2 linked regions of the Macaca fascicularis genome follow. The protein of the gene in region 1 purifies or fractionates together with the protein of each later gene. This does not show direct contact. Links are inferred from orthologs where the notes say so. Each region holds a gene or a part of one and is shown in the gene's direction. Other genes may lie near its edges.

Region 1 (15,919 bases):
AGAGGCGGAACACGTGTGTAATTTCCAGTCAGTGCAGAAATGCTGTTAGAAATATTTCAAAGGCGCTGCTTGTTGGAGCAATGAGTTCTTGAAGGAAGACGTAGGAGGGGACTTTCAGGGTTTTCCCTGGTCTGACTCTGACCTCCCCCATCTTTCGTTACTGTGTGTTCTCTCCCCCTCTCTTCCTGAGTGCTGGCCTCATGTGACTGTTGACCAGACCTTTCCTAGGCTTCCATGGTCCAAAAGAGATTTATAAAGATGCTCTCACTCACTAAAGAACTGGGCCGGTTTGCCAGCACTCTCCAATAACAAATGCTCTTTTCGCTACCTTTCAGAAAGAACAGTAAGCTTCATCCACATCTCTGAAAGCAATCCATATTATCTGTACTGCACATTTGCTATTTTCAGTTCCCACATATTGCCTTCTTACTACTGCTTATTTTTAAATACTGCTTATTTTTAAAATGTATCTTTTTGAAAATATGAGTCTGCATTCCTTTTTTTTTTTCTTTGTTGGTTGGTATGAGAGTTTCAGGAACATAAACCTATGGTTGGAGAAATTGTAGCCTAGGAGACTGGGGTTATGAAGTCAGTGGACTTTAGAGGCAGAATTTGCCTTTGAATCTTGTTTCTACTATCCTCAGTTTCATCTTCTGTATAACAGTGTTATTATAATAGTCCCAAGGTGACAGAGTAATATATGTTAAAGTCTAAGCAAAACACCTAGTGTTTAATAGATGTTTGTTCCATTTTCCCTTGTGTCTTCCTTCACTCATTACTTTTCCCATTAATAATTGATAACAACTCTTCCCTAAATCACTTGATTATGAATTGTAAAATGCCCTGATACTAATTTATCATGGAAAATTACAGTACTGTAAGCTGTTGAATTAAAAGGAAAGTGAAGATGCTACTCACTTGGATTTTAGTTTTGAATTTTATTTTATTTTTTGAGACGGAGTCTCACTTTGTTGCCCAGGCTGGAGTGCAATGGTGCAATCTTCGCTCACTGCAACCTCTTGCCTCCTTCCTGGGTTCAAGCTGTTCTCCTATCTCAGCCTCCCAAACAGCTGGGACTATAGGCGCACACTACCATGCCCTGCTAATTTTTGTATTTTTAGTAGAGACGGGGTTTCACCATGATGGCCAGGCTGGTCTCGACCTCCTGACCGCAAGTGATCCACCCGCCTTGGCCTCCCGAAATGTTGGGATTACAGGCGTGAGCCACAGTTTTGGATTTTATTTGAACAGTCCTCTTGACTTCTTCCTATTCTGTTGATTACGTATTTTAATGGGAATTTTTCTTTTTTATGTATTTTTTTTTTTTGGCAGGGGAATTTCTCTCTTGGTGAGGTTGGAGTGCAGTGGTGCAATCATGGCTTACTGCAGCCTTGACCTCCTGGGCTCAAGTGATCCTCCCACCTCAGCTCCCTGAGTAACTGGGACCCCAGGAGCATACCACCATGCCTGGCTAATTTTTTTTTTTTTTAACTTTTAGTAGAGATGGGGTCTCGCCATGTTGCCCATGCTAGGCTTGAACTTGGCCTCCCAAAATGCTGGGATTACAAGTCTTGTGCCACCATGACCAGCCCTGGGAATTTTTTCTAAACACATCTGTGAACGCATTTAATTCTGGGATAACTGCTAGCTAATATAGTTACAATTTTGGATTCCCCGTGGGACTTAGCTGACTTTCCATTTCCCTGTTTATTTTGGGGTAGCAGTTAATCTGCCCCTTGGCAAAAGAGATGATGGTAAATTAGTTAATGACTCACTCCCAAGGCTGTATTTCACATTTTGCAGGGTTGTGGGAAGCAGAGGAGGGCTGACAGTTTTACTATGAAAGATACTCATTGCAAGTGACTTTGTTTTTGATTCTTGTTACTCTTTGACTGTTTTTCATTCTTTCTTTTTCTTTTCTTTTTTTTTTTTTTTTAAGCAAATTGGCATAACATCAAGAACCTGCTTTTGGAAGCAAAGTTGGGGACTTGGAACACTGGCTTTTCCCAGAACCCTGTGTCCTTAACTTTAGTATATGATTTTATCTGAATGTGCTCATACCATTTTCTCTAAGTTTACTGCTTTCAAAAGAAATTTTTATGAGGTGCAAGCTAAGTCATTCTCACTGAGTATTTATATATACATATAGTATACATACTTATATATATCTCCTTATGAGTATGTGTAAGTATATTTTAAGGATATGTGTGTATGTGTGCGTATATATACATGTATACAAAACGAAGAGAAAAGAATAAGAAATTAGTTTTATTGAACATATATGCCTGGCACATTATATATGTTTGTTATTTCATTCAATATAAATGACTGTTCTAAGCCCTTTTAAAGTAGTCTTTCACTCTGTAGTGTTCCAGGATTAGGAATGTATTTTTGGCCTGTGGTGGGCATTCCAGGTACTAATATAAATCAGGAATGTTGCCAGGTATATTTGTATCAGCAAACCCCCCACTGTCTTTTTCTTTCTTTCTTTTTTTTTTTTTTTTTTTTGAGACAGAGTCTCTATCTGTTGCCCAGCCTGGAGTGCAGTGGCACGATCTCTGCTCACGGCAATCTCTGCTCAATGCAATCTCTGTCTCCCGGGTTCTATCGATTCTCCTGCCTCAGCCTCCCAAGTAGCTGGGACTACAGGTGTATGCCACCATGCCTGGCTAATTTTTTGTGTTTTTAGTAGAGACGGTTTCACCATGGGAGCCAGGATGGTCTCAATCTCCTGACCTCGTGATCTGCCCGCCTTGGCCTCCCAAAGTGTTGGGATTACAGATGTGAGCCACTGTGCCCAGCCTGCAAAACCCTTTTAATAAAGTCCCCTTCGACTCTAATTCTGAAATGGAATTGTGAATATTAATATGTTTTCAATTTTTTCATATACCATGGGTATAATTAAATGCTATTATATGTTGTGCCATGCTAGTATCATTATGTAAAATCTGGGTAAAAGTATTTGATTTGCTTAAGATTATGATAGCTTTTTTCTTTTTTTGAGATGGAGTCTTGCTCTGTCACACAGGTTGGAGTGCAGTGGTGGGATCTCGGCTCACTGCAACCTATGCCTCCTGGGTTCAAGATACTCTCCTACCTCAGCTCCCGAGTAACTGAGATTACAATTACAGGCTTCTGCCACCATGCCTGGCAAATTTTTGTATATTTAGTAGAAGTGGGGTTTCGCCATGTTGGCCAGGCTGGTCTTGAACTCCTGACCTCAAGTGATATGCCCGCCTTGGCTTCCCAAAATGCTGGGATTACAGGCATGAGCCACCGTGCCCAGCCAGATTATAATAACTGAATACTTCACAAGATGCAATACAGATTAAGATTAAGTTTAGATATAAGATTATTGCATTATATCTAAGATGTTGAGATTTGGTTTGAAGTTGGTATTTAATCATAATGCAATAAAAAGCACTTATTGAAGGCCTAAAGATTGTGAATGCTTTAAAATCCCATTTAAATTAGCAGTTACTGCCTGGGTGCAGTGGTGGGTGCCTGTATTCTCAGCTACTCAGGAGGCAGAAGCTGGAGAATTGCATAAACCTGGGAGGCTGCAGTGAGCTGAGATCATGCCACTGCACTCCAGCCTGGGCAACAGAGCAAAACTCTTGTCTCAAAATAAATAAATAAATAAATTAGCAGTTATCTTGAGAATTAATTTTATCTGACCCTATAGGTTATTCAGTACCTTGATGTTAGGTTTTAGAATAAAGAGGAGATTGCTTCGTTGGTCTTGAGGTTAGAGCAGTCTTCATGACAGCAAGGACAGAGATCTAAAGGGAAAGGCTTTTTCTTTTTTTTTTTTGAGGCGGAGTCTCGCTCTGTCGCCCAGGCTGGAGTGCAGTGGCGCGATCTCGGCTCACTGCAAGCTCCGCCTCCCGGGTTCCCGCCATTCTCCTGCCTCAGCCTCCCGAGTAGCTGGGACTACAGGCGCCGCCACCACGCCCGGCTAATTTTTTTGTATTTTTAGTGGAGACGGGGTTTCATTGTGTTAGCCAGGATGGTCTCGATCTCCTGACCTCGTGATCCGCCCGTCTCGGCCTCCCAAAGTGCTGGGATTACAGGCTTGAGCCACCGCGCCCGGCCGGGAAAGGCTTTTTCAAATGGGATCATTTTACTTACGGAAGAGATGCTCATTTTATTTTATTTTATTTTTATATTTTATTTTATTTTATTTTGAGATGGAGTCTTCCTGTGTTGCCCAGGCTAGAGTGCAGTGGGGCGATATCAGCTCACTGTAACCTCTGCCTCCTGGGTTCATGCGATTCTCCTGCCTTAGCCTCCCGAGTAGCTGGGATTACAGGCATGCACCACCATGCCCAGCTAATTTTTGCATTTTTAGCAGAGAGGGGTTTTCGCCATGTTGACCAGGCTGGTCTCGAAGTCCTGACCTCAGGCAATCCACCCGCCTCGGTCTCCTAAAGTGCTGGGATTACAGGCATGAGTCATCGCGCTGGGCCAGATGCTCATCTTTAAGTAATGGGCACTTTATTGTAAGGACGTGTGAAAATAGGAAAACTGGGACTGTTCCATATTTGGGCTTCATGGAACCCGGGAAGAGCTGCATAAGCAGTTCGCTTTGGGAAGACACAGCCTTTCGCTCAGCTGAACGTGGTTTTGGGAACTGGAGGTTCTTCTAGATCCTGATTTTTCTTCTTGCTCCCCACCCCAGCAACAGTTTTTTGATTTCTTATCCTGTTGTCTCCCATTGGTGTGACTATTCTGTCTCTTCTGTCTATGTTCTGTGGTTCTAGTTTGAACTGCCTCAGGGACGAGCTCTTACTGGTTCAGCTAACTCTCACTGCTCTGTTGAGCTAAGCTTTTGCACCAACTGGACCACTGGGCAGCCTAGAGATTGTTGGTTGCCCTTGGCGTCAGATACTCACTCCTGGTCTGTCAGCTTTGGATGATGTGGTGGGGTCCCTGGGAAGAGCACATTGCCAACTGTGAGAAGGAGCTTCCTCTTTCTCCAGTCCCCTGCCCTGCCCTGCCCCTATTCTTACCAGGAAAGTCTTCCCCAGAAGGGACTGCGGGGAGTGGTATTCATTTTGATGTTTGACTTGTCCAGTATATTGTTTGTTTGTTTGTTTTTGAGACAGAGTCTAGCTCTGTCACCCAGGCTGGAGTGCAGTGGCATAATCTCAGCTCACTGCAACCTCTGCCTCCCGGGTTCAAGTGATTCTCCTGCCTCAGCCCCCTGAGTAGCTGGGATTACAGGCGTCCACCACCACACCCAACTAATTTTTGTATTTTTAGTAGAGACGAGGTTTCACTGTGTTGGCCAGGCTGGTCTCAAACTCCTTACCTCGTGATCTGCCCTCCTCAGCCTCCCAAAATGCTGGGATTACAAATGTGAGCCACCACGCCTGGCCTGATATTGTTTGTTTATTCAACTACAGAATATAATTTATCTATTTAAAAGCACCATAAAAATGAAGTCAATTGACTGGGAAATGATTTGAAATACATGCCTGGCTGCTAACAACAGGGGCAAAACATGAACTACAAATGGCATATAAGCAGATAAGAAGAACTATTTAACCTCATGGTGACGGGTCACACAACTGCAAATTAAAACTGTAAAAAACTTAGTAATGATCAGGGCTCAGGGTGGTGTAGCAGTTAAGAGCCCAAACTGATGTGAGACTCAGCTTGACCAAGCACTAGCTGTCAGTCACTTAAACTCTGAGCTTCATCAACTTTATCCCCCTCCATATGTAGCTGGATATATTTATTTCTTTAGCAGAGACAGGGGTTTTGCCTTGTTGCCCAGCCTGGTCTCAAACTCCTGGGCTCAAGCCATCTTCCCGCCCTGGCCTCCTGAAGTGCTGGGATTATGGGCATAAGCCACTACACCTGGCAGAATTTTCGTTTTTATAAAAATTCAAGTTATTTGGTTTTGTGACTCTGTTGCCTTCTGCAGAAATGAAGCTGTTGTCATTTCTGGAAGGAAACTGGCCCAGGAGATCAAGCAGGAAGTGCGGCAGGAGGTAGAAGAGTGGGTGGCCTCAGGCAACAAGCGGCCACACCTGAGCGTGATCCTGGTTGGGGAGAATCCTGCAAGTCACTCCTACGTCCTCAACAAAACCAGGGCAGCTGCAGATGTGGGTATGTGTCCTTTTGAGACCTCGAATGCTGTTCAGTTGAGGTTTATATGAGGCAAAGTCCATTGTAATTTATGATTTCTTTTTTCTGATTAGGAAACCCAAGCAGAGGAGGCTAATGTGATTGAACTGTATCCCAAAACTTTGTCATAGGAAATCAGACTGTATCTTTCAGGGTTTATAGACTAGGACAGGAGATACTTACTGGTTGGTATTCTCTGTGGCTTCTGGAAAGAATATAAGGCACGTTCTGTTCTTAGTCTTTCCATTTGATAGGTGACCCTGAATACATTTTACATTTGCTTTCCTTGAGCAATAATGGGTCTCCAGCAGAGGTGTTCGAGTGTTTGCAGTTTAAAGCCTTAGAGGCTTAGGGGGCATGATTGAACAATACAGTATTAGGAGATCTCAGTGATGAGGTCAGGAACACAGTCATAGATTTGAAGGAAATGACTCTTGACTTCTGGGAAAGAGCTTTCAAGTTCTTCACCGATTGGTTCTAAAGGCAAACGTGCAGTTTAGAAGCAGTTCGGGTCTGGATGATGGGGTTTGTGTTCTAGGCCTCATGGTACCACAGATTACTATGTGTCTGTGGACAAGAGGTGGGTGGGCAGACTCAGATATGCCTCTGCCTGCCCATCTGTGGGCCCGTGGTCTGAGCATGAGCAGCAGGTGGCCTTTCCTTCTGAAGGGCTGTGAAACCACTGGCATGGCTGGGAGGGGTTACTGGCCTGTGAGCCCGTGGTTTCCTCTATTCTTTACCATTGAGGATTGAGGCCTCCTGCTCTTTTAATGGAAAGCCTTTAGAAACTTCTAGAAAATGGCAAGCCATGGCTTTTTTTTTTTTTTTTTGAGATGGTGTTTCTCTCTCGTTGCCCAGGCCGGAGGACAATGGCGCAGTCTCAGCTCTCCACAACCTCCGCCTCCTGCCTCAGCCTCCCGAGTAGCCGGGATTACAGGCGTGCGCCACCATGCCTGGCCAATTTTGTATTTTCAGTTGAGATGGGGTTTCTCCCTGTTGGTCAGGCTGGTGTCAAACTCCCCGACCTCAGGTGATCCGCCCGCCTCGGCCTCCCAAAGTGCTGGGATTACAGGCGTGAGCCACTGTGCCTGGCCAAGCCATGGCATTTTAAGACATTGGGAGGTAGTGTGGTGCAGAAAAAAAGAGCATGGATTTTGAAACCAGAAAGACTGGCTGTATTATTAGCTCGCTTATTTTTATTTTTTATTTATTTATTTATTTTTTTTGAGACGGAGTCTCGCTTTGTGGCCCAGGCTGGAGTGCAGTGGCCGGATCTCAGCTCACTGCAAGCTCCGCCTCCTGGGTTTATGCCATTCTCCTGCCTCAGCCTCTCGAGTAGCTGGGACTACAGGCGCCCACCACCTCGCCCGGCTAGTTTTTTGTATTTTTTAGTAGAGATGGGGTTTCACCGTGTTAGCCAGGATGGTCTCGATCTCCTGACCTCGTGATCCGCCTGTCTCGGCCTCCCAAAGTGCTGGGATTACAGGCTTGAGCCACCGCGCCCGGCCAGCTCGCTTATTTAGTTATTTATTTAGACATGAGTCTTGCTTGCTCTGTTGAGCCGGCTGGAATGCAGTGGTGAGATCTCAGCTCACTGCAACTCCCACCTCCCAGGTTCAAGCGATTCTCCTGCCTCAGCCTACTGAGTAGCTGGGACTACAGGCACCCACCACCATGCCCGGCGAATGTTTTGTATTTTTAGTAGAGACGGGTTTTCACCGTGTTAGCCAGGATGGTCTCCATCTCCTGACCCCATGATCCGCCGGTCTTGGCCTCCCAAAGTGCTGGGATTACAGGCATGAGCCACGCGCCTGGCCTAGCTCGCTTATTTTTAAATCTCTCTGAGCCTCAGTCTGTCTGTAAAATAAGGTTAATGAGGATTGCATAGAATGAGGTATACAGGATGTGTTAAGCTAGTATTCTCTAGTGTATATATTTGTGAAGTTACTTTTTTAGGTTCCTTGAGCTACTTCAGCTTCTAGGGATGGGTGTGATGATACAAAACCTGTATGGTAGCCAAGTATGGTAGGCAACATAGCAGTGCTCATTAAATGCCTCAAAAATTTTTTTAACCTCAAAATTTCCTATAATAGGAATAAACAGTGAGACAATTGTGAAACCAGCTTCAATTTCAGAGGAAGAATTGTTGAATTTAATCAATAAACTGAATAATGATGATAATGTAGATGGCCTCCTTGTTCAGCTGCCTCTTCCAGGTGAGTTTTGGACTCTACCATTTAAATGATTGCTGCTGCTTCTGCTCCTCCCCCTCCCCCTCTCCCTCCCTCTCTTCCTCTCCCTCCCTCTCTGCCTCTCCCTCCCTCTCTGCCTCTCCCTCCCCCTCCCTCTCCCTCTCCTTTCCTTGTCTCACTCTGTCACCCAGGCTGGAGTGCAATGGTACAATCATAGCTTATTGCATGCTCAAGCTCCTGGGTTCAAGGGATCCTCCTGCCTCAGCCTCCCACATAGCTAGGACTATAGGTGTGTGCCACCATGCCCAGCTACTTTTTATATTTTTCCTAGAAATGGAAGTCTTTCTGTGTTGCCTGGGCTGGTCTTGGACTCCGTGCTTCCCAAGTGCTGGAATTACAGGCATGAACTACCATGCCCTACCTAAAATGATTTCTGAGGAGTAAAAAGGCCTTGTTATTTTATACACCTGGCTCTTCATGTGGATTTGGCTTAAAGGCAAAGTAAACGCAAAAGAGTGAATATTTTATTAGAATGGGACAGACCAACTCAGAATACCCATTACCCCTTGATTTAGTATTGGGGTCTTGATATGAAGGACAGTGGAGGGAAGCAACTGAGAGATGATACTGGCTTTGCTATTGGTGTTTGGCTTTGCTTATGCGAGTTCCTTCCATGCAGATGAAGTACATCTCGGAGGCAAGCTGTAGAAGAATGGATTTCCTTGAGGAAGCAGATAAGCTGGAGTCAGGCAGTGCTGACTGTGAGGTGGTGATTTAAGGCAACTGCCGATTTCTTTTTCAGAGCATATTGATGAGAGAAGGATCTGCAATGCTGTTTCTCCAGACAAGGATGTTGATGGCTTTCATGTAATTAATGTAGGGCGAATGTGTTTGGACCAGTATTCCATGTTACCGGCTACCCCATGGGGTGTTTGGGAAATAATTAAGCGAACTGGTAGGTATATCCCAGAATTGTATGTCTGTTAATATTATAAAAGTACCTGCAAATGGTAAAAACTCATAATACAGTCCCAAAGAGTGGAAACCCCACCCCATATCCTCTAGTCATACTCCCCAGAGTTTACCTCTCTTAACAGTTTTTTTTTTTTGGTTTTTTTTTTGTTTGTTTGTTTGTTTTGAGACAGGGTCTTGCTCTGTGACCCAGGCTGGAGTGCAGAGGCGCAATCTTGGCTCATTGCAGCCTCCGCCTCCTGGGTTCAAGTGATTCTTGTGCCTCAGCCTCCTGAGTAGCTGGGACTACAGGCACACGCCACCATGCCCAGCTAATTTTTTTATTTCTAGTAGAGACAGGTTTCACCACATTGGCCAAGCTGGTCTCGAACTAACCTCAAGTGATCCGCCCCCTCACCTCCCAAAGTACTAGGATTAGAGGCATGATCCATCATGCCTGCCCTTAACAGTTGCCTATGACAGTTTTTGCTTTTAATCTGGAAGCCTCGGTGAGGGAAACTTTCTTTTTTTCTTTTTAATCTTTTCTTTAAGAGTCAAAGGTTTCACCATGCTGCCAGGCTGGTCTCAAACTCCTGGCCTCAGGCAGTTCTCCTACCTTAGCCTCCCTGGCCTCAAGCAATCCAACCTCCTGCTGGGATTACAGGTGTGAGCCACCACCCCAGCCCTCAGTGAAGGAAATTTAAGATTTAATAGTGGTGACAGTGCACATTCCTGTAACATTTTGTAGCCTATAGTATGCTTTCTCCTGTTTTCTTTTAGCCCTTATGTGTAGCAAGTTACAGCTCCAGTTGACTGATGAGGCAGTAAGCTCAGTGACTTCACTATCAAAATTGGCTTCATGTTCTAGGCCATCTGACTTTGTTTTGCTTTGGACTGGCACTACTTTTAATGTAAACACATATATTTTTATAGGTATTCCAACCTTAGGGAAGAATGTGGTTGTGGCTGGAAGGTCAAAAAATGTTGGAATGCCCATTGCAATGTTACTGCACACAGATGGGGCGCATGAACGTCCCGGAGGTAAGGAAATTGCTTTCAGGGAACACTGTCCCTTTTTCCCCATGTAAGAACTCTCAGAAGCCATCCTGTGCATTTTTGGAAGTATTAACTGTGTTATACTTTGTATTTGTTGAAATTTTGTTAACAGATAATTCAGGGAGTAACCTTTGTAGAGAAGCTGCACCCAGTGTCGCCTGAGTTTCTTTATTATTCATGTATCATGTAACTAGCTTCAGAAATAAACTTAAGTTTTGAGTATAAGCATGATTATAGGCAATTAGAAAATTTCAGCTATAGCTTTGATAGCTGGAGCTAAGGAGCAGTTCTTATTCAAAGATACTGTGTCATTTAGTGGAAAAAATCTTAAGCCGTTGCAAAGGATTGAATTGATATGACTGTAATGTGTCCTGTCAAGTTCTGTTAATTGGTTCTAAGGTAAAGCCTCGTGAATCTGTTATCACATAATTATTGTAATAATGACCTTACATGATTATATCAGAAATAATGGCAAAACTATACTTTCAACAATCTTCAACATACTTAAAACAACCTTGAGTAATTCTAGTGATATTTTGCTTAGAAAAGGTAAAATTCTTGAAAGGCTTTAAAAATACGATGAATAAATTTAATTATATGACTCAAAACAGTCGAGCTGCCGGGCGCAGTGACTCAAGCCTGTAATCCCAGCACTTTGGGAGGCCGAGGCGGGTGGATCACGAGGTCAGGAGATCGAGACCATCCTGGCTAACATGGTGAAACCCCGTCTCTACTAAAAATACAAAAAACTAGCCGGGCGTGGTGGCGGGCGCCTGTAGTCCCAGCTACTCGGAGGCTGAGGCGGGAGAATGGTGTGAACCCGGGAGGCGGAGCTTGCAGTGAGCCGAGATCGCGCCACTGCACTCCAGCCTGGGCGACACAGCGAGACTCCGTCTCAAAAAAAAAAAAAACAGTCGAGCTAGGACCAATGGTTTAAAGCTATATGAAATTAGGTATTAATTTTAAAAAAGTAAATGACAATTAGCTGTCCAGAAAATATGGCACAAGCCATTAAGTCAGTTTTTTGTTTGTTTGTTTTTGGAGAGGGAGTCTTGCTCTGTTGCCCAGGCTGGAGTGCAGTGGCACAATCTTGGCTCACTGTAACCTCCACCTCCCAGGTTCAAGCGATTCTCGTGCCTCAGCCTCCCAAGAAAGCTGTGATTACAGCCATGCACCACCACACCCAGCTAATTTTTGTATTTTTAGTAGAGATGGGGTTTCACTATGTTGGCCAGGTTGGCCTTGAACTCCTGACCTCATGATCTGCCCACCTTGACCTCCCAAAGTGCTGGGATTACAGGCGTGAGCCACCGCACTATTGTTGAGTTTCTACAGTGACTTGACTAGTTGAGACCTAATCCAGTCCCAGCTTTGTGTCAGAAATCAAGACATCTATTGTTTTCTTTCTAGGTGATGCCACTGTTACAATATCTCATCGATATACTCCCAAAGAGCAGTTGAAGAAACATACAATTCTTGCAGATATTGTAATATCTGCTGCAGGTAAGAACACAAGGTGAATGGAGGGAAGGGGAGGTTGTACCCCTCATCTTAGAATTCGCCTGCCTAGCTACTATTCATCCTTCCCCTCATGATGATTCTTTGAGCTGCCTACAAAGATGAGGATAGAGTTGTGATTGGAATACTGGTTTCTAGCATTCCATTATAGTCTGGATGGGTGAATGTTATTCCTAAAGCTTCAAAATATTTATATTAATATTTACTGTATAAAGTTCAAACGGTTCCTTTTGTTTCCTGTCAGGAACCAAAATAAATAATAAAAGTAAATGGTTCCTTAGTTAATATTTTTAACAGGTTTTAATAAAACATGTTAATTTGGGCCGGGCGCGGTGGCTCAAGCCTGTAATCCCAGCACTTTGGGAGGCCGAGGCGGGCGGATCACAAGGTCAGGAGATCGAGACCACAGTGAAACCCCGTCTCTACTAAAAATACAAAAAATTAGCCGGGCGCGGTGGCGGGCGCCTGTAGTCCCAGCTACTCAGGAGGCTGAGGCAGGAGAATGGCGGGAACCCGGGAGGCGGAGCTTGCAGTGAGCCGAGATCGCGCCACTGCACTCCAGCCTGGGCAACAGCGTGAGACTCCGTCTCAAAAAAATAAATAAATAAAATAAAACATGTTAATTAGTTCTTCTAGGTCTCTTGAAATTGAAATTAGACAACAGTCTGACAGGTAGACTGTTTTCAGTACTAAGCTTTTTTTCCTTTCTCCATTTCCAGGTATTCCAAATCTGATCACAGCAGATATGATCAAGGAAGGAGCAGCAGTCATTGATGTGGGAATAAATAGAGTTCATGATCCTGTAACTGCCAAACCCAAGTTGGTTGGAGATGTGGATTTTGAAGGTAAATGGTAAAATTTTATTTTTAAAAATGAAATCAATAAGTACTACCTTTCATGGACATTTAGAATAGATTATTTACTTTTTTTTTTTGAGATGGGAGTCTCACTCTGTTGCCCAGGCTGGAGTGCAGTGGTGTGATCTTGGCTCACTGCAACCTCTGCCTCCCAGGTTCAGGCGATTCTTCTGCCTCAGCCTCCAGAGTAGCTGGGACTCCCAAAGTGTTGGGATTATAGGTATGAGTCACTGCACCTAGTCCGTATGCGTTTCCCTCCCTCCCTCCCTCCCTCCATCCATCCATCTTCCTCTTCTTTCTCTCTTTCTCTTTCCTCCTCCCTCCCTCCCTTCTTTCCTTTTCCTTTTTTTCTTTCTTTCTTTCTTTCTTTCTTTCTTTCTTTCTCTCTCTGTCTCTTCCTTCCTTCCTTCCTTTCCTTTCCTTTCTTTCTTTTTTCTTCTTTCTGTCTCTCTTTTTCTTTCTTCTTTTTTTAAAAACAGTCTCATTCTGTCACCCAGGCTGGAGTGCAGTGGCACCATCTCGGCTCACTGCAACCTCCACCTCACAGCTTCAAGCAATTCTTGTGCTTTCAAGCCTCCCCAGTAGCCAGGATTACAAGCATGTGCCACCACGCCCACCTAATTTTTTGTATTTTTGGTAGAGATGGGGTTTCGCCATGTTGGCCACGCTGGTCTGATCACTCCTCAAGTGATCCTCCCACCTTGGCCTTCCAAAGTGCTGGGATTACAGGTGTGAGCCACTGCACCTGGCCTTAGTATGCTTTTCATAAGAATTAGAGAAACCGGCCGGGCGCGGTGGCTCAAGCCTGTAATCCCAGCACTTTGGGAGGCCGAGGCGGGTGGATCACGAGGTCAGGAGATCGAGACCATCCTGGCTAACACGGTGAAACCCCGTCTCTACTAAAAAATACAAAAAACTAGCCGGGCGAGGTGTGGGCGCCTGTAGTCCCAGCTACTCGGGAGGCTGAGGCAGGAGAATGGCGTGAACCCGGGAGGCGGAGCTTGCAGTGAGCTGAGATCTGGCCACTGCACTCCAGCCTGGGTGACAGAGCGAGACTCCGTCTCAAAAAAAAAAAAAAAAAAAAAGAATTAGAGAAACCTTTTTAAAATTACAGCCATTCTAGAATTATTTTAGTTGTTTCATCATAGTGATGGAGAGCAGTTATAAACTTTTCAGGGAATTGTTTTTTTCCTTAGAACTTACTTCATAATTCAAGCAATTTCTTGACTTTTAACAAGTTTGAAAATTTGATGAAGTGATTTTTATAAACCATGGAGTCTCCCAAAAAGTGTTGAGAGTTCCCATTTTCACACTGAGACATCACAGGCCTAGCAAGTTAAAATGGTCCAGGAAAAAACCATACCCCTGAAATACTAGAATATACTAGTAGATGTCTCTTTTCAGTTATTTTTTTAAGAGGCAGTCTCACTCTGTTGCCCAGGCTGTAGTACAGTGGCGTGATTTCTGCTCACTGCAACCTCTGCTTCCCAGGTTCAAGTGATTCTCCTGCCTTAGCCACCCGAGCAGCTAGGATTACAGGCATGTGCCACCACGCCGGCTAATTTTTTGTATTTTCAGTAGAGATGAGTTTGGCTCTGTTGACCAGGTTGGTCTTGAACTCCTGGCCTTAAGTGATCTGCCTGCCTCAGCCTCTCAAAGTGCTAGGATTACAGGTGTGAGCCACTGCACCTGGCCTCTCCCTTCAGTTCTTAAGATAGAATGTTTATCTGAATATATGCTGATAATCCTTTTTTTTTCTTTCCTTTTTTTTTTTTTTTTTTTTTTTTGAGACAGGGTCCCTCTCTTTTGCCCAGGCTGGAGTACAGTAGCATGATCTCAGCTCACTGCAGCCTCTGCCTCCTGGGCTTAAGCAGTTCTCCTGCCTCAGCCTCCTGAGTAGCTGGTACTATAGGCACATGTCACCTTGCTTGGCTAATTTTTGTATTTTTTGTAGAGATGGGGTTTCACCATGTTGCCTAGGCTGGTTTCAAACTCCTGGCCTCAAACAATCTCCCCCACCTCACACTCTGCCTCAGTCCCCCAAAGTGCTGGGGTTACAGGCATGAACCACTGTACCCAGCCTATGCTGATAATCCTATTCCTAGCTTTCTGTTTTTATTAAAGCAGTCAAACCCATGCCTAGGTATGTAAGGATTTTCACTTTAACATTAGGGTAATTTTTTTTTTTTTTTTTACTTCTCACTTTTAAAAAATTACTGTGCTTTCTGCTTTGGACAAATTATACTTAATAAAATGCTGTAGGCAGCTATTGAGGTAATGCTTATTATTATTATACTTACAACTCCCACGCAGTTAACCTACTAGATGTTTAATAGATTTCTTTATAGGTTACTTAGATGTATAAATATTCCTTTAACAATTCTGTATGTGCATGTTATTTTACTAGTGTATTCACAAAACCTTGAATGATGTAGATGTGATTTTTGAGTTTTATGCTTATGTATGTTACTTTTTCCTTCCTTGCATGCTTGTTTCATAATATATTAAAGTACACACATGTCCTTTGCCATAACTAAAGCAGCCTGCCTGTCTTGTTTCTATGTAGGAGTCAGACAAAAAGCCGGGTATATCACTCCAGTTCCTGGAGGTGTTGGCCCCATGACAGTGGCAATGCTAATGAAGAATACCATTATTGCTGCAAAAAAGGTGCTGAGGCTTGAAGAGCGAGAAGTGCTGAAGTCTAAAGAGCTTGGAGTAGCCACTAATTAACTATTGTGTCTTCTATGTCACAAACAGCACTCCAGGCCAGCTCAAGAAGAAAAGCAGGCCAATAGAAATGCAATATTTTTTATTTATTCTACTGAAATGGTTTAAAATGATGCCTTGTATTTATTGAAAGCTTAAATGGGTGGGTGTTTCTGCACGTACCTCTGCAGTACCTCACCAGGGAGCATTCCAGTATCATGCAGGGTCCTGTGATCTAGCCAGGAGCAGCCATTAACCTAGTGATTAATGTGGGAGACATTACCATATGGAGAATGGACGCTTCCCTTTGTCAAACTTGGTTACACATTTGCCTTTTCTAGGATTGCATTTCCCAAGTGCTATTCTAATAACAGTTGAATACTCATTTTAGGTACCAAACCTTTTGAGTTCAACTGATCAAACCAAAGGAAAAGTATTGCTAGAGAAAATTAGGGAAAAGGTGAAAAAGAAAAAATGGTAGTAATTGAGCAGAAAAAAAATTAC
Region 2 (15,280 bases), on another chromosome or scaffold:
GGGAGGCTGAGGCAGGAGAATGGCGTGAACCCAGGAGGCAGAGCTTGCCGTGAGCCGAGATCCGGCCACTGCACTCCAGCCTGGGCGACAGAGCGAGACTCTGTCTCAAAAAAAAAAAAAAAAAAAAAAAAAAAAGCAGACATCTGCCTCGGCCGCAGACCCTGGAATCACGAGCTCCAGGGGTGCAGTGAGAAATGTGCTTGGAGCATCCAGCATCCTCCTCCCTGACCACCTTCCTCTGTTCCGTCTGGACCTGGACTGACTCCTTGAGAGCACTCCTCACCCAGCCTCTCCCCACCCAGCCTTCCCAGATTTATCTTCCTGATGAGACAAATTCTCTTTGGAGCCCTGTGTGTCTTACTATGTGTTCGGTTGAGGGCCTGCCTCGCCCCAGCGCTGTGGGCTGCACGTGGCCTGCACGTGGCCTGGGTGCTCCTCTGCTATCCACAGCCGCAGGAGACGACGCTCAAATATTTGTGGAAGGAATCCGTGAACAGGCAGATGCACATGTAGCCACTTAGAACTTTCTGGCCGTGGCTTTCATCTGTTGACCACATATGGACATTGAAGATGTATCCTCTCCATCCTGTCTACAGCTGCCCCTGCGCCAGGCGAGTTGGCCGGCCGTTGACAGAGGTGGTGGGCGGGAGTGTTGGAGCAGGGCCGCGGCTCAGGCTCCGGGTGCCTCAGTGGCCTGGTCTGGAAGGTGACCATGCACCAAGAATCAAAGAAGATAAGCTCAAAATAGAGTCTCATGGAGTTTCCAGCCAGAATCTCCCCCACTGCCTGCCTTTCTCCAGATGGTGGAAGGCCCCAGGCCTCACAGCAGGACCCCACCACTGCGTTCCCCCAAAGACTCTGGCCACCTCCATCCCAGGCCTGCCAGTCTTGAGCCTCATGGAGTACGTGAGCTGGCCGGGTCATGCGCAGCCCCAGGACATCTATGGGTGGCACTAAGGGCTGAGTCAGCCACCCTTGTCTCCTCTGTGCCCAAGAGCCCGAGTATCAGGCTGGTCTGAGCCCCAAGGCCTAGGGGTGCAAGGACCAGGGGTTGGAGGCTGTGGAGTCCCAAGCCCCCACTGGACTCCCACCTCAGACACTGCTCCTGGTGTTCTCGCCCAGGCCTGAACCCATCCGCACACTTCGCAGTCCTGCTCCTACCCTGTGTCCCCTCTGCGAGCCCCCATGCTCCCCAAATTGGAAACTGGAGGAATTCTGTCTCCACACCCCAGCTAGTGCCATTCCCTGGTGGGTAGCTCATCACCTCTGGTCCCCTGCAGCCCTTGCCCCTTCACCATGGACGCTGGGAGGGCAGAGCCCGCTCCCCTGCTGAGCCCCACCCTGGAACTCCAAGCACCCTGGGTCCTTGCCTCTGCATCTCCCTCAGGGGCAAGGCTTGGGGCCCCTCCTGCCTCCTGACAGGGAGCCCCTTCAGTGCAGGGCCAGGGGGTGGTGGAGGCAAGGGTCCCCAGGGGACCAGATCTGACGTGCGGGGCCTCCACTGGGTCCCCGTTGGCTGTGCTGCTTAGTCCCCGCGCCCTCGCCTCGGCGCAGGCTCCCTCCTGCCACCAGGCATACGGCGAGGCCTGTGGCTCCCACCCCAAGGGTGCGCTCGGCTCTCACCTGAGGGCTCAGCCCAGGTGTCCGGCCCTGGCAGCTCGGCCCTGGGCGCCCTCCGCCGCCAGGCGCTGTCTCCTACTCCAGGCTGTTCTTCCGGCTGCGGGGTTGCGGCCTGGGTCCCATGGCAACGTGGGCGGGTCCTCATTTGAATACGCAAATATTTATAAGCCGCAGGAGGCTCGGGTTCTGAGGGGCTGAGCCACGCCCCTTAGCAACGGTCGCTAGGGCGGGGCCACGTGAGTTGGCACTTGGGTGGGCGATCCCGGGGGAGGTGACGCGCCACCAAGTCGGGTGGGCGCAGGCGCGTCAGGTGCCAGCTCCCTGCGGCTCCGTGCCCGGGCCGTCGCGGTGCACGTGTCGCGTTTCCTCGCGATCCCGGCGCTTCCCACGCGGGGCCGGCAAGGGCGGTCTCTGCTGGAGGCTCCCGCCCACCTTTCCCACGTGGAAGGGTCGCCCCTGGGGTCGAGGCCTGACGCCCTGACCTTCGATTGGAAGTGAGGCCGACAGCAAAAGGAAGCACCGGGGCAAGCGCCCCGGAGGACCAGGAAACACAGACCGGATGCCGAAGCGCGCCCGAGTGCCCGGCCCGTGGGACACGCCGCCGCCCGCCGTTCAGTCGCCGCCTCTCACCTGCGTTCATGCGCGTCCGCCCCGAGCCGGGCTCTGACTGCGACCGCGCGGTGGATGGACGGCAGGCGGGACCCCCGGGACCGCACGTGGGTGGAGCCCCGGGTCAGCGGCGACCGGCGCAGGAGGGCGTGGCGGCGGGGCGGGCACTGGGTTGGGCAGAGGCAGGGTTTGCCTGACCGTAAAACGCCTTTTTTTCTTTTAAACGCCTTTTTTTTGAGACGAAGTTGCGCTCTGTCACCCAGGCCGGAGTGCAGTGGCGCGATCTCGGCTCACCGCAACATTCGCCACCCGGGTTCCAGCGATTCTCCTGCCTCAGCCTCCTGAGTAGTTGGGCCTACAGGCTCGCGCCACTGCAGCCGACTAATTTTTTGCATTTTTAGTAGAGACGGGATTTCATCATGTTGGCCAGGCCGGTCTTGAACTCCTGACCTCAAGTAATCCACCGGCCTAGGCCTCCCAAAGTGCTGGGATTATAGGCGTGAGCCACCGCGGCCGGCCCCTTTTGCTTTTTTTTTTTTTTTTTTTTTTTTTTTTTTAGACGGAGTCTCGCTCTGCCACCCAGGCTGGAGTGCAGTGGCCGGATCTCAGCTCACTGCAAGCTCCGCCTCCCGGGTTCACGCCATTCTCCTGCCTCAGCCTCCCAAGTAGCTGGGACTACAGGCGCCCGCCACCTCGCCCGGCTAGTTTTTTGTATTTTTTAGTAGAGACGGGGTTTCACCGTGTCAGCCAGGATGGCCCTTTTGCTTTTTAATGAGAATGTATTTCTGATTCCTTTGCAATTTAAAAAAATGTTAAAAAAAAAAAAAAAAACACGTCTTTTGGGGTTTGAAAGAGCTAGGATGTGGTCTTTGTGCTTGGGGTGAGCCCTGGGCACTTCGCTCTCCTGTGGCAACCTGTAGGTACCGTTTAACTGCACCACGCTGAGCTTCTGCATGGTTGGAACCTCAAGTCTGGGGGGACTGAGCGGGCAGGGTCGCCTGCCACGCAGGCCCAAGTAAGAGAAGTGGTGGAGGGGGCGTTCTCACGCCTGGCCCCAGGGAGCACGGCTGCGCCCGCCGCTCGAAACCCCACCGGAGCTGCAAGGCGTCCTCGGGGTGGGCTGAGGTGGGAGTAGGGGAGCTGGGGTGCGTGTGGTAGGTGGGGTGCGCGGAGGAGGCGGGGTGCGCACCGTCCGGGTGCGGGGCCACTCCACCTGCGCGGAAGGGGAGCCGGGCAACCGGACCCCGCGGCCACCCGGGGGCCCCCAGCTCCGAGCGGCCCGCCTTGGTCCCGACGGATCCCAGCCTTTCCTCAGCCGGAGCCCCGGGACCTCCGCGGTGGGCGACGCCGCGCTGCGGACGCAGGGAGGGCCTCGAGTGCACGGGCGCCGCTGAGTCGGGTTCTCTCGCCGGCCTGTTCCCGGGAGAGTCCACGGCCCTGCTCGGATATGCCGCCGCAGGCCCCCAGACACCTGCTCCCTCGCCCTCCTTGAGCAACCCCGAGCTTGCCTCCGCTCGCCGGCCTAGCCCAACCCCCCGAGGCCGCGGCCCTTCTGGCTCCGCCTCCCGCGTTGCTCCCGGAAGCCCTGCCCGACCGCGGCTCCTGACAGACGGGCCGCTCAGCCAACCGGGGCGGGGCGGGGCCTGGTGTAGCGAGGCCAATGGTAGGTCGCGCAGGGCTGACGGACGGGCGCGGGGTGGGGCGTGCGCGAGCCCGGCCGAGTCTCCGCCGCCCGCTCCCTGCGCCTGCAGCCCCAGCCGCACCCGCCGCGGACGGAGCCCATGCGCGGGGAGAACCGCGCGCCCCCGCCCCCGCCCCCCCCTGGCCTCGGCCCCGGCCCCGGGGGCAGTCGCGCCACTGAGCGGTGAGTGCGGGCCGGGGTCGGCCGGGCCGCGCGCCCTCCCCGCCCCCAGGCGGCAGCCATACGCGCGGCGCGGGCCGGGGGCGCGGGACCGGCGGGCGTGAGCGGCTGCGGCGGCGGTAGTGGGTGGGTGGGGCCGGGCCGGGCCGGGCGGGGCCCCCAGGCACAGGTGAGCGGGCGTCGGGGGCTGCGGCTGGCGGGGGCGGGCTGAGGCCCCTTAGTCCCTGGGGCCTGCGGGAATCCGGGCCCCGCCCGTGGCCTCGCTCTGGGCACGGTCCTCACGCCGGCGTCCCCGGGAGCCTCGGGCCCGGCGCCCTCATAACCAGGCGCGTCTGGGCGGAGGCGGCCGCGGCCACGGCACGCCCGGGCACCCCCGATTCAGCATCACAGGTCGCGGACGAGGCCGGGGGCCTCAGCCCCAGGGCCCTTCCCCTCTCCGGGTCTCCCGCGCCGCCTCTCGGCCCCTTCCTGTGGCTCAGCCCCTGCTTCCCAGGAGCCCCTCTGTCTTTTCCAGCTTTCTGTGGCTGAAAGATGCCCCCGGTTCCCCGCCGGGGGCGCGGGGCGCTGCCCGGGTCTGCCCTCCCCTCAGCGGCGCCTAGCACGCAGTAGGCGCTCAGCAAATACTTGTCGGAGGCACCAGCGCCACGGGGCCTGCAGGCTGGCACTGGCCTGCCCGGGCACGCCGTGGCGCGCTCCGCCGTGGCCAGACCTGTTTAGGAGGACGGTAACCTCAGCCCTCGGGCGCCTCCCTTTAGTCTTTCTGCCGACCCAGCAGCTTCTAATTTGGTTGAGAGCGCTCAGCTGTCAGCCCTGCCTTTGGAGGCTGGCTCCCTTTTCCCCTCACTGGGTCCTTAACAGCAAGTGGGGGCGAGGCGACAGCCCTCCCCCGCGCTGGTTTGCAGCTGCACAGGTAGGCACGCTGCAGTCCTTGCTGCCTGGCGTTGGGACCCAGGGCCCGCTATGGGTTTGCTCTTCAGATGGCTCTGCCAGCAGCTGCCCTGTGGGGCCTGGGCCTGGCTGAGCAGGACCATCCTTGGCAGGTGGGGCAGGAGACCCTGTAGGACCCCGGGCCGCAGGCCCCTGAGGAGCAATGACGGAATATAAGCTCGTGGTGGTGGGCGCCGGCGGTGTGGGCAAGAGTGCGCTGACCATCCAGCTGATCCAGAACCACTTCGTGGACGAATACGACCCCACGATAGAGGTGAGCCTGGCGCCGCCGTCCAGGTCCCGGCAGCTGCTGTGGGCGAGCCCAGGACACAGCCAGGATAGGGGTGGCTGCGGCCCCTGGCCCTGCATGGTGCTCTGGGCCTGTCTCCTGCTTCCTCCAGAGAAGGGGAGCCCCTCGTCTCAGCACCCCAGGAGAGGGGGCATGAGAGGGGCATGAGGGGGCATGAGAGGGGCATGAGAGGTACAGGGAGAGGCTGGCATTGTGAACTCCCCGCATGGAGGGTCCTGAGGGGTCCCTGAGCTCTGTCCTCCTGCAGGACTCCTACCGGAAACAGGTGGTCATTGATGGGGAGACGTGCCTGTTGGACATCCTGGACACAGCCGGCCAAGAGGAGTACAGCGCCATGCGGGACCAGTACATGCGCACGGGGGAAGGCTTCCTGTGTGTGTTTGCCATCAACAACACCAAGTCCTTTGAGGACATCCACCAGTACAGGTGAACCCCTTGAGGCTGGCCCGGGAGCCCATGAGGCACAAGTGGGGTCAGGCCGGCTGTGCCCAGACAGGGGCCTCCTGTCCTCTCTGTGCATGTCCTGGATGCAGTCGTGCCTGCAGCCCCTATAGCCAGCTCTCACTTTTCCTCCCAGGGAGCAGATCAAGCGGGTGAAGGACTCAGACGACGTGCCCATGGTGCTGGTGGGGAACAAGTGTGACCTGGCTGCACGCACCGTGGAGTCTCGGCAGGCTCAGGACCTCGCCCGAAGCTATGGTATCCCCTACATTGAGACCTCGGCCAAGACGCGACAGGTGAGGCAGCTCTCCAGCCCACAGCTAGCCAGGGACTCGCCCCGCCCCGCCCCAGCCAGGGAGCAGCACTCACTCACCCCTCTCCCTTGACACAGGGCAGCCGCTCTGGCTCTGGCTCCAGCTCCGGGACCCTCTGGGACCCCCCGGGACCCATGTGACCCAGCGGCCCCTCGCGCTGTAAGTCTCCCGGGACGGCAGGGCAGTGAGGGAGGCAAGGGCCGGGGTCTGGGCTCACGCCCTGCAGTCCTGGGCCGACACAGCTCCGGGGAAGGCGGAGGTCCTTGGGGAGAGCTGCCCTGAGCCAGGCCGGAGCGGTGACCCTGGGGCCCAGCCCCTCTTGTCCCCAGAGTGTCCCACGGGCACCTGTTGGTTCTGAGTCTTAGTGAGGCTGCTGGGGACACTGGCCATAGCTCAGATGAGAGCTGGGTGCAGGGTGGTCAAACCCTGGCCAGATCTGGAGTTCAGGAGGGTCCTGGGCCACCCTGACCTTTGAGGGGCTGCTGTAGCGTGGTGCAGGTGGCCCTGGGCTCTTCGAGATGACCAGAGCCCAGCTTCCTGTGTGTGTGGTGGGCCTGGGGAAGTGGCTGGTGGAGTCGGGAGCCTTGGGCCAGGCACGGCTTGATCGCACAGCAGGGAACCCCTCACCTAGGCAGGGGGCCACAGGCCTGTCCCTCCTGATCCCATTTCTCCTTTTCCAGGGAGTAGAGGATGCCTTTTACACATTGGTGCGTGAGATTCGGCAGCATAAGCTGCGGAAGCTGAACCCTCCTGATGAGAGTGGCCCCGGCTGCATGAGCTGCAAGTGTGTGCTCTCCTGACGCAGGTGAGGGGGCTCCCAGGGCGGCCGCCACGCCCACCGGATGACCCCGGGCTCCCCACCCCTGCCGGTCTCCTCGCCTGCGATCAGCAGCCTCTTTTGTGCCCCGCCCAGCACAAGCTCAGGACATGGAGGTGCCGGATGCAGGGAGGAGGTGCAGACGGAAGGAAGGAGGAGGAAGGACGGACGGAAGCAAGGAAGGAAGGAAGGGCTGCTGGAGCCCAGCCACCCAGGGACCATGGGCCGAAGTGACCGCAGACCCTCCCAGGGATGCTTTGCACAGACTGTCTTGAGCATCCCAGATGCTACCAGAACCCCAGCCCTTAGCTCCCCTCCCAGGCCTCTGTGGGCCCTTGTCAGGCGCAGATGGGATCGCAGTAAATTATTGGATGGTCTTGACCTTGGATTTTGGCTGAGGGTGGGACACGGTGCACGTGTGGCCTGGCGTGAGGTATGTCGGAACCTCGGGCCTGTCCAGCCTTGGGCTCTCCACAGCCTTTGGGAGGGGGAGGTTGGGAGAGGCTGGTCAGGGGTCTGGGCTGTGCTGCTGTCTCCTCCTGCCTGCCCCAGAGTGTCCATGGATTCCGGCAGAGAGCTCTGGACAAGCAGGCAGATCATAAGGAGAGCTTACTGCGCTGCTACCAACTAGGAGGGCATCACGGTTCTCCAGAGGGAGGTGATTTCAGGGGTTGGGGATCTGTGCCGGCGGCTCTGGTCTCTACCTGGGAGCCGCCTTGGCAGTGAGAGGCGTCGCTTTTCCTGACTTTTTCCCATGGTGAAATGCACCTGCCAAGAATGGCAGACATAGGGACTCTGCCTCCTGGGCCTTCACATACCCAGTTTTCTTCATCTCTCTGGCCTGGAGCAGTCTGTGGACCTTGGAATTAGGGCTCCAGCACCGACTGGCCTCAGGCCTCTGCCTTATTGGTGGTCGGGTGGCGGCCACTAGGGCGTGGGAGCCTGGCCATCCCTGCCTCCTGGAGTGGACGAGGTTGGCAGCTGGTCCGCCTGCTCTCGCCCCGCCCTCCCCCGCCCCTGCCCTCACCCCACCCTCGCCCCGCCCCTGCCTCATGGCTGGCTGCTCTTGGAGCCTGGTAGCGTCACTGGTTCGGCCTTGCTGGGTACGCACAGGCTCAGCCATCCACTCTGCTCCAAGGGGCTTGCCCTGCCTTGGGCCAAGTTCTATGTCTGGCCACAGCCACAGAGTGCTCAGTCACCCGTGTGGTCATTTTGGCTGCTGCTGGAGGCCCACGGCACCCCTGGTGCCCCTCCCCTCCCAGGGCTCGGGTTGAAGCTGGGCCAGGCCTCTCTGGGATGGGGACTTGTGCCCTGTCAGGGGTCCCCGTCGCAGAGGTTGGGCAAGAGACTGCAGGGCGTGCTGCTGGCCGGCCAGGGCTGCAGGGACGCCACACTCACCCTTCTGTCCAGGAGATGCCACACTTGCCCTTCTCTCCAGCAGCCTCCAAGTGACCAGCTTCCCCATCGATACAGACTTCCTGAGGCCAGGAGCCCTTTGGGGCTGCCAGGTACTGCCCTGGCTCCTTCCACACCGTGCCGGTCACTGCCTGCCGAGGGGGTCAGATGCAGGTGACCCTGTGCAGGGGGGTGTCTCTGGACCTGCCTCTTGGTCATTATGGGGCTGGGCAGGGCCTGGTGTCAGGTCCCCACTGGGGTTGCAGGGCTTGACCCGTGCTGTGGTCCTGGGGTATCCAGGACAGACGCGGAGGGGACAGGGCCCAGCACCGCTGCTCCATGCTGAACTGTGGAAAGCACCAGGTCCCTGGGTGGCTTCGACAGGAGTTCCAGCACGGGAACCACTGGACAACCTGGGGTCTGTCCTGATACCCAGGGTCCAGGGACTCTGGCCAGCCACAGCCAGGGTCCTGGGGACTCCAGAGAGCAGCCCACTGCCCTGGGCTCCACGAAGCCCCCTCATGCCACTAGGCCTTGGCCTCGGGGACAGCCTGGCCAGGCCAGTGTGTGGGAGGACCAGGCCCCCTTGTGGGAGCGGACATTGCCTTGGCCGTGCTCTCCAGCCCTGTCCCCTGGCATTCCGGAGCTGCGCTGATGGGCAGCGGAGAGCCAGCTCATCCCCTTAAGGAGGGTCTTGATGTCTGGGGTTACCTGCGGAGGCTAGGCCCCATGGATCTGGGTCCCTGTGTAGCCCCCCCCCCGGTCTGATGCTGGGGACGCCCCTGCAAATTGCCAATCCCAGAGAACAAGACTGTGGGAGGGCTGTGTGGGGAGAGCCCGTCCCTGCACCCTGACCCGCAAATCCACGGCTCTCTCATTGTCCACAACTGCCGGAGAACAGAGGGCTCCGTGTCTGGCCGTCCCCCAGCAAGCAACAGTGACTGCATCTGAAGTCTGAGCTGCTGAGACCCCCTCCTGCAGGGACCCATCTTCTGGCAAAAACCTGGACTGAGGACCACCCTCTGCCCACACCCAGGGGGCCCATCCTGGCGGCTCTTGCAGTGCCAGGCTCTGCCCCATCAGGGTCTGGGGTCTCAGCCAGATTTGTGTCCAGGGCAGGGAGGCTGCAGAGGTTAGGTTGGGTCCAGCGCAGGGCAGGGCTGGAGAGCACGGCCAAGGTTGGGTCTGTCTCCTCCCCCCTGACCTCGGATGTCACTTCTCAAATGCGTGCGTTCGTATCCACCCCATGGGGTTGCCATGAGGTGAATGACACAGTCGTTTGCACAGTCCGCGTGGAACGGGCACCCGCTGAGTGCTCAGGGATGACCCTTGGCAGCCACATGGAGGCCAGCGCAGGCCACCTGGTAGTGACCGTCGCCATACCATGGGGTAGGGCAGCTGTGCTGAGACCCACCTCTTGCCTTTGGATGCAGAGCCCCTCTCGGACACCCGCCGTGTCCCCACCTACTCCACACATGCTGGGCACTTGGCACCGGTGACATTGTGGGGTGGCTGCAGATGTCACAACAGCGCCCTGCCCAGGTCAACCGGGCCTGGAGTCAGTGTCCACCCCCTGAACTGTCAGCGTGTGAGTGCACGTGTATGTGGGTGAACGTGTGTGTGTGTGTGTTCTCCAGCTAGGCCTGGCTGTCCCACTCACGTGCACACAGGTCTAAGTCACTGTCACCCCCGTGGCCTGAGGCGATCGTCAGAGCATCCGCAGGGGCACCACACTCAGCCCTCTCCACCTGGGGTGGTCATGGGGATGCAGATGCGGGGAGGGGGCTGGCCCCCTCCCTCGGTGGACTCAGGTCTTGTGTAAAGGGCTGGGTTCAGTGCCCGTGTCTCACCTTCTGGAGGAGCCCTCCTGGGTGCCGTGAATGTCCCCCTTGCTGGAGGCTGCAAGGTCCCAAGGACAAGCCCCCTGCCTGAGGTCCCCCAGCCGCCCGCTGACCAGGTCCCACTGATTGACAGACCCTGCTGGGCTGCCAAGAGGGTGGAGGAAGCCTGGCGGGAGGTGGGGGACTCATCTGTGTGACATCAGCTTCCGTCCCACCTGCCGCCTGCCCCTCGGATCACATCGCTGCTCAGGATTCGCCACCAGCTGCCTCCTCGCAATGGAGCCCTCTGATAGCCGAGAGCCTGCCACAGCCATCCCCCACAGCCACGCGTAAACTCTCCCAACATCCATCCAGGGAGGCCTGGATAAAGATGCAGGGTTTCAGGCCGGGCGCGGTGGCTCACACCTGCAATCCCAGCACTTTGGAAGGCGGAGGTGAGTGAATCACCTGAGGTCGGGAGTTCAAGACCAGCCTGGCCATCATGGTGAAACCCCGTCTCTAATAAAAATAGGAAAATTAGCCGGGCGTGGTAGCAGGCGCCTATAATCCCAGCTACTCGGGAGGCTGAGGCAGGGGAATCGCTTGAACCCGGTAGGTGGAGGTTGCCGTGAGCTGAGATAGCACCACTGCACTCCAGCCTGGGCAACAAAGCAAGACTTGTCTCAAAAACAAAAAACAGGCCAGGCGCGGTGGCTCACGCCTGTAATCCCAGCACTTTGGGAGGCTGAGGCGGGCGGATCATGAGGTCAGGAGATGAAGACCATCCTGGCTAACACAGTGAAACCCCGTCTCTACTAAAAATACAAAAATTAACTGGGCGTAGTGGCGGGCGCCTGTAGTCCCAGCTACTGGGCAGACTGAGGCAGGAGAATGGCGTGAACCTGGGAGGCACAGTTTGCAGTGAGCCGAGATGGTTCCCCTGCACTCCAGCCTGAGCGACACAGCGAGACTCCATCTCAAAAACAAAACAAACCAAACAAAAACCTTACCCTACCGTTTTGCTAAGCGAGAAATTCTGCACAATTCCTCTGCTGTTAGGCAATAGTCAAACTCAGAAGCAGAAAGTAGGGTGGCCGTGGTCAGGGGCTGGGGAGCGGAGCTGGGAGCTGCTGTTCAACTGGTAACAGATTTCAGTCTGGGAAGATGCGTGAGTCCCGGAGTTCACTGTGCATGGTGCCTGTGGTTAGCAATGGCGCATGACACATTGCAAAAAAAAATTTTTTTTGAGACAGAGTCTCGCTTTGTTGCGCAGGCTGGAGTGCAGTGGTACAATCTCGGTTCACTGCAACCTCCGCCTCCCAGGTTCAAGTGATTCTCCTGTCTCAGCCTCCCCAGTAGCTGGGACTACAGGCACCTGCCACCATACCCGGCTAATTTTTGTATTTTTAGTAGAGACGGGGTTTTGCCATGTTGGCCAGGTTGGTCTCGAACTCCTGACCTCAGGTGATCCACCCGCCTTGGCCTCCCGAAGTGCTGGGATTACAGGTGTGAGCCACCGCACCCAACTACTGAGTAGTATTTCTTTTCTTTTTTTTTTTTTTTTGAGACGGAGTCTCGCTCTGTCACCCAGGCTGGAGTGCAGTGGCCGGATCTCTGCTCACTGCAAGCTCCGCCTCCCGGGTTTACGCCATTCTCCTGCCTCAGCCTCCCGTACTGAGTAGTATTTCTTTGTAGGGATGTAGCACAGGTTGTTTACCTGCTAAAGAATATTTAGTTCGCTGCCAGGTCTTGCCTGTTACGACTGGAGCCTCCATAGGCATTTGCGTACCGTGCCCCTGAGGACATAGACTTTCAGTTTGTTAGGGAAGACACCAGGGGCAGGGTTGCTGGGTCCTGTGGTGCGTGCCTGACTCTGCACATGACTCTCCAGCTTGCCAGGCCGCTTGCCTTCTCAGCCTTCTCAGCCAGGACGCATCGGAGTCCTGCCGCCGTGATTTTCATCTTGGGCGTGTTGCGGGATCTCATTATGGTTTCAGTTTGCAGTCTGCTGGTGGCCACAGCCTGGGCATCTCCTTAGCACTGCTGTGTGTGCTGCAGGTGCCCTTTGCTGAAGTTTTTGTTCAAGTCTTCATCTTATTTTTGGTTTTGTTTGTTTTTATTTCATTATTATTTTTGAGATGGAGTCTCACTGTTGCCCAGGCTAGAGTGCAGTGGCGCACATCTTGGCTCACTGTAGCCTCCGCCTCACAGGTTCAAGCGATTCTCCTGCCTCAGCCTCCCGAGTAGCTGGGACTACAGGCATCCGCCACCACGCCTGGCTAATTTTTTGTACTTTTATTAGAGACGGGGTTTCACCACGTTGCCCAAACTGGTCTTGAACTCCTGACCTCAGGTGATCTGCCTGCCTTGGCCTCCCAAAGGGAAGGATCATGACGGGATTACAGGTATGAGCCACCCGCCTGGCCTATTTTTTATTATTTCATTTTATTTATATCGGACAGGCTGGAGTGCAGTGATCATGGCTCACAGCAACCTCGACCTCCCAGGCTAATTTAAAATTTTTTTTTTTTTTCCCTAGAGACGTGGTCTCGCCATGTTGTCCAGGCTGGTCTTGAACTCCTGAGCCTCGAGCTCAGTGTGATCCATGTGCCTTGGCCTCCCATAGTGCTAGGATTACAGGTGTGAGCCATCATATCTGGCCTATTTATTTATTTATTGGAGACAGGGTCTGGCTCTGTCCCCCAGGCTGGAGTGCAGTGGTGTGATGGTAGCTCACTGCAGCCTCGACCTCCCTGGCCTAAGTGGTCCTTCTGCTTCAGTCTCCTGAGTAGCTGGGACTACAGCGTGCACCAGCATGCCTGGCTAAATGTTTGTTTATTTTTTCTACAGACCAGGTCTCACTGTGTTGGCCAGGCTGGTCTCAAACTCCTGGCCTCAAGTGATCCTTCTGCCTCAGCCTTAGTGTTGAGATTACAGGTATGAGCCACTTCACCCAGCCTTTTGTTCATTTTTGAAACTGGTTTTTTATTTGGTTATGTTTTTGAGATTCTTTTTTTTTTTTTTTTGAGACAGGGTCTCGCGCTGTCACTTCTGTCACCCAGGCTGGAGTGCAGTGGCGCGATCTCAGCTCACTACAACCTCTGCCTCACGGGTTCAAGCGATTCTCATGTCTCAGCCTCCTGAGTAGCTGGGACGACAGGCACGCACCACACCTGGCTTATTTTTCTATTTTTTGTAGAGATGGGGTTTCGCCATACTGGCCAGGCTGGTCTCAAACTCCTGACCTCAAGTGACCCACCCGCCTTGGCCTCCCAAACTGCTGGGATTAGAGGTGTGAACCACTGTGCCTGGCCAACACTTCTTTACATATTCTGAATGAGTCCTTGTCAGAGGTGTGATTTGAGAACATTCTCCCGTTGGCCAGGCGCAGTGGCTCAGGCCTATAATCCCAGCACGTTGGGAGGCCAAGGTGGGTGGATCACCTGAGGTCAGGAGTTCAAGACCAGCCTGGCCAACATGGTGAAATTCTGTCTGTATTAAAAACATAAAAGTTAGCTGGACGTGGTCGTGGGCACCTGTAATCCCAGATACTTGGGAGGCTGAGGCAGGAGAGTTGCTTGAACCCAAGAGGGGAGGTTGCAGTGAGCTGAGATTGTGTCACTGCACTCCAGCCTGGGTGACAACAGTGAAATTCCATCTCAAAAGAAAAAAAATATTTTTCCATATCTGTAGTTCTTTTCTTTCTTTTATTAAGGCCTTTCACAGGACAAAAAGTTAAATTTTAATGAAGTCCAATGTGTCAGGTTTTTTGGTTGTTGTTTTATTTTTCAAACGGGGTCTTGTTCTGTTGCCCAGGCTGGAGTACAGTGGTGCAATCTTGGCTGACTGCAACCTTTGCCTCCCAGGCTCAAGCGAGTAGCTAGGACCATAGGTGTGTGCCACTGCACCCAGCTAAATTTTTTTCCCCTATTTTTGGTAGATGATACAAAGACGGGGTTTCACCATGTTGGCCAGGCTGGTCTCGAACTCCTGACCTCAAATGATCTGCCCACCTTAGATTCCCAAAGTGCTGGGATTATAGGCTTGAGCCACTGTGCCCACCTTCTCCTATGTTGTTATGTAAAAATTGTAAATTGGCTGGGCTTGTTGGCTCACACCTATAATCCCTGCACATTGGGAGGCCAAGGCAGGAGGATTGTGTGAGCCCAGGGGTTCCAGACCAGCCTGGGTAACACAGGAGACCCCATCTCTAAAATAAAGTTAGCTGGGTGCAGTGGCTCACACCTGTAATCCCAGCTACTTGGGAGTCTGAGGCAGCAGGATCACTTGAGGCCAGGAGTTTGAGACCAGCATGGGCAACATAGCAAGATCCTGTCTCTGTTTGAACAAAGGAAAAACCCAAGTCATATACATATATACACACACATATATACAGTATACACATATACATACACACACGCATCTATATACACATATGTACATATATATACATATACATATATACATGCATATATACACACATATACACGCATATATACACATACATATATACACACATATACATACATATATAAAATTTTTTTTTCCTTTTTAAGATGGAGTCTTACTCTGTCTCCCAGGCTGGAGTGCAGTGGAGTGATCTCAGCTCACTGCAACCTCTGATTCTCTTACCTCATTCTCTCAAGTAGCTGAGATTACAGGCGCTCGCCACCACACCCAGCTAACTTTTGTATTTTTAGTAGAGACAGGGTTTCTCCATGTTGGCCAGGCTGGTCTTAAACTCCTGACCTCAGGTGATCCACCCACCTCGGCCTCCCAAAGTGCTGGGATTACAGGCGTGAGCCACCGCGCCCAGCCCGGCTGATTTTTATATTTTTAGTGGAGACAGGGTTTTGCCATGTTGGCCAGGCTGGTCTCAAACTCCCAACGTCAGGTGATTTGCCTGCCGCAGCTCTGTCGCTAGGCTGGAGTGCAGTGGCAAGATCTCAGATCACTGCAACCTCCACCTCCCGGGTTCAAGCGATTCCCCTGCCTCAGCTTCCTGAGTAGCTGGGACTACAGGCACACACCACCACGCCCAGCTAATTTTTGTTTTTGTATTTTAGTAGAGATAGGGTTTCACCATGTTGGCCAGGATGGTCCTGATCTCCTGACCTTGTGATCCACCCACCTTGGCCTCCCAGAGTGCTGGGATTACAGGCATGA

The links.
Region 2: the proteins of MTHFD2 (region 1) and HRAS purify together in Homo sapiens (co-immunoprecipitation; 4 studies listed by BioGRID and IntAct, with this or other methods). This does not show direct contact. The link is inferred for Macaca fascicularis from reciprocal best matches to the Homo sapiens genes MTHFD2 and HRAS.

Annotation. Positions count from the first base shown.
Region 1 is NC_088387.1:47,738,050-47,753,968, reverse strand, and holds part of MTHFD2 (bifunctional methylenetetrahydrofolate dehydrogenase/cyclohydrolase, mitochondrial), read left to right. Parts: intron 1-5,932; coding exon 5,933-6,117; intron 6,118-8,228; coding exon 8,229-8,351; intron 8,352-9,129; coding exon 9,130-9,282; intron 9,283-10,211; coding exon 10,212-10,319; intron 10,320-11,744; coding exon 11,745-11,837; intron 11,838-12,571; coding exon 12,572-12,697; intron 12,698-15,275; coding exon 15,276-15,439; 3' UTR 15,440-15,919. UniProt on the Homo sapiens protein: Although its dehydrogenase activity is NAD-specific, it can also utilize NADP at a reduced efficiency.
Region 2 is NC_088388.1:422,939-438,218, reverse strand, and holds HRAS (GTPase HRas), read left to right. Parts: upstream 1-1,919; 5' UTR 1,920-2,336; exon of another isoform or gene 2,337-2,352; intron 2,353-3,948; exon of another isoform or gene 3,949-4,093; intron 4,094-5,130; 5' UTR 5,131-5,180; coding exon 5,181-5,291; intron 5,292-5,574; coding exon 5,575-5,753; intron 5,754-5,904; coding exon 5,905-6,064; intron 6,065-6,159; exon of another isoform or gene 6,160-6,241; intron 6,242-6,762; coding exon 6,763-6,882; 3' UTR 6,883-6,887; intron 6,888-6,995; 3' UTR 6,996-7,280; downstream 7,281-15,280. UniProt on the Homo sapiens protein: Involved in the activation of Ras protein signal transduction. Ras proteins bind GDP/GTP and possess intrinsic GTPase activity.